2 linked regions of the Oryzias latipes genome follow. The protein of the gene in region 2 purifies or fractionates together with the protein of the main gene of each other region. This does not show direct contact. Links are inferred from orthologs where the notes say so. Each region holds a gene or a part of one and is shown on either strand. Other genes may lie near its edges.

The links.
Region 1: the proteins of kif22 (region 2) and kpna4 purify together in Homo sapiens (affinity purification with mass spectrometry; 3 studies listed by BioGRID and IntAct, counting the BioPlex papers as one, with this or other methods). This does not show direct contact. The link is inferred for Oryzias latipes from reciprocal best matches to the Homo sapiens genes KIF22 and KPNA4.

Annotation. Positions count from the first base shown.
Region 1 is NC_019871.2:13,522,500-13,526,746, forward strand, and holds the start of kpna4 (importin subunit alpha-3), read right to left. Parts: upstream 2,853-4,247; 5' UTR 2,691-2,852; coding exon 2,622-2,690; intron 670-2,621; coding exon 625-669; intron 480-624; coding exon 390-479; intron 1-389. UniProt on the Homo sapiens protein: Functions in nuclear protein import as an adapter protein for nuclear receptor KPNB1. Binds specifically and directly to substrates containing either a simple or bipartite NLS motif.
Region 2 is NC_019877.2:7,649,799-7,652,657, forward strand, and holds part of kif22 (kinesin-like protein KIF22), read right to left. Parts: coding exon 2,830-2,859; intron 2,519-2,829; coding exon 2,122-2,518; intron 1,853-2,121; coding exon 1,735-1,852; intron 1,416-1,734; coding exon 1,295-1,415; intron 524-1,294; coding exon 361-523; intron 1-360. UniProt on the Homo sapiens protein: Kinesin family member that is involved in spindle formation and the movements of chromosomes during mitosis and meiosis. Binds to microtubules and to DNA. Plays a role in congression of laterally attached chromosomes in NDC80-depleted cells.

The sequences.
Region 1 (4,247 bases), on a different chromosome or scaffold from region 2:
CCATCTATTGTCTTTATAGCGCCTCTAAAATATCTAGAAATGCTTCATTCTTTGTGCCTGTAAGTATCTTGAGCAACAACTGAAGCTTTTGTGCACATTGATCAAGAAAAATGAGTACATAGCAAGACAAACTGCACACTTTGAAACAATCTTGCCCCACCTAGTCAGTACAAAATAAAGCAGCATCCTAAATGCAAAAGTCTAAACCTAACCTGCTCAGCATCTGAAGACTTTCCAAAAATGTACAAAATCTCAGTACAAATTCAGTCTATACCATATCTGACAAGCTGTCATCCCTGTTGCTAATAGTAGTATTGCAATTCAAACATGCAATATATGGTTTTTCTGAATAATGGTGTAAAAAAGGAATATTTGAAAGATAAACTCACTGATCTGAAATCTCCATCAAGATCAGAGTCCTCACAGAGGTCCTCGTGGGGAACATTTCTCCTCTTCAGCAGATGCTCGTCCCTTTTGTTCTGTAATGAAAAAGTTAGTGAGCTCACTTCACTAATCATCCATTTATGTTACTGCAAAGTATATATAAAATATAGCTGAATATTCAATTCTGAGAGCATTCTGCAATATTAATTAAATAATGGCTTAAGTAAAGAGTTTATTTACCTTTCGAAGTTCCACGACAACCTCAGTCCTTTGTCTTCTCATCGTCTGCAAGGAAAATATTAAATTTAGTTAAATTAGGAAATTTCAACCTTCCAAACAAATTTAGAGAAATAAATGAGAATATCAGGGTACTGTGTATATTCGGGTATTGATGATGCAGGTCGTCTGGGCATTAAGTCTACAGCATCTATAAAGCAGAGGTCTGCAACTACAAATGAGTATCACAAGTCTGACTAAATGTAACTCAGCTTTAAGAACTACAGTACCTGACCGATACATCATTTTTACATTTTCAGGTTTCATTGTTCTTTTTTGACATATTTGTATCATATGCAAAAAGAAAAAAAAGTAAAATGGCAAAAATGGGAACTGCATTTTTAGGAAATGGTAGTATAGCAAGCTTTTTCAATAAAAAAGAAAAAGCAGGTTAATAGTTACAACAAAACAACATGACTGGAAGAAGACCTTAAGGATCACTTTTAGGGTTTTCCTATACAAGATTATTCATCTACCCATTACTTTATTCGATTTCTAGTCAAGCAAAACCTGTTGCAAATATTAAAACCATAGTTTGTTAGGATCCTCACTATGACCAGTTATGTCTCAATTGTGTCCACACAGTCAGTTGTTTTATTAGTGATAACACTGACCAAAAATAGTAAACATATTAATGTCATATGACAGAGATGACTTAAAATAGAACTATGAATGAGAGAAGTGATCTGGTAACCCACTAAAAACATCTTGAAAATCGCACGCACTTCCTCCCTCAGCTACCAGCTTAGTAATTACATCAAGCCAAATTTATTTCAGAAGCGGATATGTCTACAGGTTGCAGTGCATGATGTGACATTAGATGTGTTTCTATTCACGGTAAAGGTGCAGCTTTACTGTCCCACGTGGCCGCCGCCCTCTGAAACAATTCTACGTCAGATGCACACAGTGGAGGCAAAGTAAATGCAAATTGACAATGTTTGTTGACTCAATTCCTCGTGAACCTTTGCATGCATTAGAAGTTATTTACATTAAGTATTGAACCTTGGTGTTGATGCTTAAAGTTTATCATTGGAGAAACGAATTTCACGCGCGGTTCTCGAGTTGAAAGTCGAATAATTAACGTAACAATCATCGACGCCCCCCTCGCAACATATATGTACCTTCTCAAACAGGATGCGTGGTTTCCTGCGTCTGCAACCCCACCTGAAACCGATATCAATACTAGCTGGAATGCATTAACAGCTACGCGTTGACCTGACTGTAAATCACCTGGTAACTTATTGATCCGACATGATGAACCAACGTCCAGCTTTGATCTATGAATCATGTAGTAAACGTGTTAAGGGGAGACTGCTCTCCTGAGAATACGTCCTATTAACGCATAAAATAGAACTATATTACTATTGGTGTGGACTTGAGCCTAATATAAGTGGTCATGTTAGAAGCTTACTTGTTTCCGCCATTGTTTTTGATTATAAAGACGGGGGATGGGTGGAACTGCAGCCAACAGCACCGCCGCGCTAACCTAGCACGCAGTTGGGCTAACTGCAATGTTAGAAGTACGAACATCTGTCGTTGTTTTAGCTTAACTTAACACCACATTCTCAGAAGATAACGTAAAAGTACTTTGTAAATAATTGTATGCAAGCTGTTAACATTTCTGACCGAGCGAGACCGAACTGGGGGATGATATGCATCAGTGGAGTTAGCATGTTCCCGGAGGCCTTGCTAGCTGGTGGCTAGCAGAGCTGATCCAGCGGAGGCTTTTCTGACATGTTTTACACCCAACACGGTTTCGGGATAAAACGAAACCAGTTCGAAATTGACCCAACGATTCCAGCCTCCAATAAACACTGATTTCTGAAGGCCCTCGCCAGTTTCTGGCAGCAAAGTTGCCCGTGGTGTAAATTAGAAACGACGTCACAACGGAGCCGAGGGGCAAGGCTGAGCGCGGCGGCTGTGCAGACGAAAGCGAGGACACCGATCTTCGCAACTTTTACCTCCAAATCTCGGCCCTTGTTCTTGAAATTCTTTAGTCGCTGGTTGTCCAGTTTCTCGTTGTCGGCCATGTTAGTAGTTCTGATTACGTTAAATATTACTGGACAGAGTTTTAGCCGGTAAGCTATCTGTTTCTGGTTCCCTTTTCGCAGTCTTTCGTTAGTGGACTATTTTTTGCTGCTCGGTCCGCGGTGCATACTGGGAATGCCGGTGGTAGAGGGCAGCCTCGCTCTGGCGTAAGGGAAGGGTGGGGAAATCCCCCTCACTCTCATTGGTTTCACCGCTCACGTCTGTGTGCAGAAGACACCGCATTATACCGACTCACGTCTGCTCATGTTTAGGAAGGCAGACGTTTGATTCGTGATCACCTAAACTTAAATATGTCATTTCACTAAAACCCTATCCATGTCGCATCATTTCTTAAGGAGTTTTCATTAGGGAATTGTAAAATTCTAAATTCTTTTTATTATAATAAAATTATATATATATTAGATATATATATATTATATATTATACTATGTACTATTATACTATATTATATAATATATATATATATATATATATATATATATATATATATATATATATATATATATATATATATATATATATATATATATATATATATATATATATATAATGAATTAGTTTATGCTATTTCTCATAAGGCAGTCAAAATCTGAATAAAAAAAGGGAATAGGATTGCTCAATTTTGGCATAGTATTAAGAAGTAAGGCATTCTAGATCGGAGAACTGTCTTTTTTCTCTACAATACAATGCTAAAAATGTAATTCCCAGTTTCACACCATGTTGCCATTATATTCGATATTACAACTACAAAATTATCAGTAGTATCACGATTTTTATTGAATACCATTTTAAAAATAGAGCATCATGGAAAAGTCTATTCATTTGGATAATTAGATCTAAAAATTGAATATAGTGTACTGTTTAATTGATTTCTAATATTTATTTATTTTTACATAAATTTGGGTTCCACCTCATTAAAACCACGAAAACAAACTTTTAGTAAATCTGAATACTGTGGTGAAATCTGTCCAAATTCTGCGGGGCACGGATGTTTTAAACTATTTTAATCTGGACAATGTTTTCAATGGAATCATGGAAATGACTATACTTTTCCATAATATTTTATGAATATTTATATTTAACACCTTAAACCCAAAATCTTCATAAAAATTACATTTATTTGAAGTTCCAATATTAAAAAAAACATCAACATGAGAGATTTACTTTATTCATTTGGGAACTAATAAATCTGCTGTAACCTTTGTGCTATCTGAGTCACTTTAACATTGGGAGTTGGGTCATCTAGACCCCACAAGACAGTGCGCTGAACATTTTTTCTTCAATGATTTCACTGGTGTCCATGGATTACATGAAATCCTATTCACCTTAATCCACCTTTGTCATGGTAGGAAGAACACGTCAATGTAAGGATCGGGTCATCTGGACCCCACAGGAAAGCACAAGGGTTAAGTTCTCACTGATTTGGTACAAGTCATTAAATCAATATCATTTTGTTTCAGAAGACAAACACATTTTGAATAAAAATATATATATCATATATCTATCTATCTATATATATAGATAGATAGATATATAGA
Region 2 (2,859 bases):
CTCTCTGGGCAAAAAGTTTGCATGTTAAATGTTGTAGTGGAGAACTGAAAGTGTGTTTTCATGAGTAAGAAAGTTATCCGAGTGGCTCTCAGTGATGCTGAGGGGTGTAAAAAGAATCCCTCCTCGTCGCCATTTGATCTCGCACTGCAGATCAATAAAACTGAGAATCGATGTGACAGAAGCAACTCATTAAGGAAGAACACGTCACATGTTTTGAAAAACTTGTTTAGTAATTTCCTCTATAAAAAAATAAAAAAAATCTATTTGCTTTAGGAAATAAGGTTTTTGATTTTTTTGTTCCATTTGATGGGAAATGTAGAAACGACTGAGTCAAAGTGACTTTGTTTGCGTCTCACTGACCTTGCAGGGGTTGGACCACAGCCTGCTGCCTAGCAGGTTTTCTCTGAAGAGGAGCCGTGGTGTTTTTGAAGACGGGCTCTTCTGCAGAACCGGGGGTTTCTTTGGCCACTTGGCTGAAAAGCATGGCTTTACTCTCAAACTCCTTCTGCTTCTTCTTCAGCTCCTTTGAAAAACAAAACAAATATATATATATATTTTTATGAAAACAGATAAATCTGAGTGGAGATGCGGCACAAATGCTAAACAATAAAAGCTTTTTGGCCAAAATAAGATTGAATTAAGACTAGGAGGAGCTGCGTTTCCAGAAGAAAATGCAGGGTTGAAGCCTATATTGCTGAATGAAAATGAAACCTAAAGGGTAATAATTGGCACAAAAACAAAAATTTTAATAAAGAAATTATCAAAGTTGACCATAAATAAAGTGGAAACAGCACTATAGCAAAAAAAGATATTTTTGTGAAAAATGCGAGCGCCAAGTATCAAACCAGCGAGCTTCTGCAACAGAGAAGAACAACGATTTTCAAGGATTCCCATGCATTTCATTCAAGGCAATCGATCAATCACTGACTGCGTTAAGACAAACCAATAGAGATGCTTGCTGTCAGCTTTAAATGTTTATTAAAGAGTTTGGATGTCTGAACATGTCAACATCTCGCCAACTTTCCCGTAATGTTTTTGTGCCTCTCCTGCTCAAACTGCTAACGTATTCTGCTCTGCTTTACAGCAATAAAATGTTGGTTTGTTCCAGATATGCAGACTTCCAGAAGAAAAGAAAAGTGCTTGAAATATATAGCACTGATCAAAATAATAAAATAAGAACCAGATCCCCGATTGACTTCTAACATCTGATTCTGACAGAGTTTTAATCTACGCGATCGTAACCATCATCAATGAGGTTTCAGAAACTGCACTGGTGTTTTTGGTGCCACTTCACCTGGATTTCTTTGCGAGACTGAGCCACATCCTTAGTCACGCTCAGCCGGTCTTTGTTTTGGCAATTCATCACCAGCTTCTCCAAAGCAATCAGTCTGTCCATGACAGATGGCTCCGCCAAACTATATAAAAGGATAGAAATGTGAAAACATGAGTCAAAAGGTTATGCGTCTGAGGCCGAACAGACGTGTCCACTTGATAACAGATGGTAAAAGTGAGCAGTGCCGGTCTTGCATGGTCGGGGGAGCAGCTGTGACCAATGGCAGCCTTGCATAAATCTTGATTCCTCGTAAGCTCTAAAATCTTGGCTCGCTCTGATGAGGCCTGCGCCAGTTTCTGATGCTGTCGTCTAAATGAGACTGAATTTGACATGATGCAAAGACACTTTCCAGTAAGCCGGAGCTGTTCAGACGAGTCTGGGAAAAGTAAGTAAGTACCCACATGGAATCGGCTGAAGGTGAAGAGGCGTCCTGCTCGGGTGTTTTCCCGTCTTTCTGTTTCTTCCTGTGTGGCTCGCTGCCAGAACCTCCAGCCTTATGCTCCTCTCGGGCTCGCTTCACTAAAGACGCAGGGAAGAATTAAACCGCTTGAAATTCAGAGCACAGGAGTGCTGCTTGAGTGCACAGTCCTCCATCAGCAGCAAAGCATGAGGAAGATAGCCCAACATCAGTCAAAGCTGCAGCAAAATGTATTTAAGAAAGGCAAAAGGACAAAAGCAACCATGATAAATGATAAATGACAAAAACTTGAAATAAGTGCTGCTGTTTGGGACAGGAGCGCCCCCTACTGGCCTTAGAGTTAGTGGTTCTTTGTGTTGCTGCTGCTCACCTGGTAACACAGGAACGGCCACAGTCTCCCGCGTGAAAGGCTTGTTCACAATCATCTTGGATTTGGCCGCAAAGTTCAGCGCGCTAAATGTGTCAAAGTAGTATTTGTATTCTGGTGCGATGTTGGTGATCATGACGGAGTGGGCCGAGCCTCCCAGAGAGTCCTGCAGCAGGCGGGTCAGTTTGCTGTCTCTGTACGGCACGCGGACCGATGTGCCGGAGTTCAGGGAGTCCACCACCTTGCTGAGCGTGAAGAGGGACAGGTTGATGGCGCCGCTCTCCTTTAGGCGGATGCCCTGGTTGCCGGTGCGACGGTTGTCTTCAGAGCCAGCCAAGTCCACCAGGTAGAGTTTGCCCGTCTGCTGCCTGTGGGGTAAAACACGGGAAGTCCGCACAACCTGAAAGTAACAGCAACAGTTTACAAATATGCAGGATGCAATAGACAATTCTAAAACACAACTAGATATTGATTAGCAAGAAAATAAAAACAGGAAAAAAAAAGGACAATGACTGAATTGTTTCTTTCAAAGTAATCCCAAAAGCGCAACATTTGCTGCTAGTGGGAGTGTTGCAAGAAAGAATTGATTTTAGCACCAGCTACCAAATCCTGGTCTACTGCACAGAGACCACGACCTGTTTAAGATGCTGTTTGACTGGGATCTCAGTTTGAAGGGGAAAAATTAGGAATGAATGGAATTTCACGCCAGACCTTGATCAGAAGGATAGCGTGACTGCGACT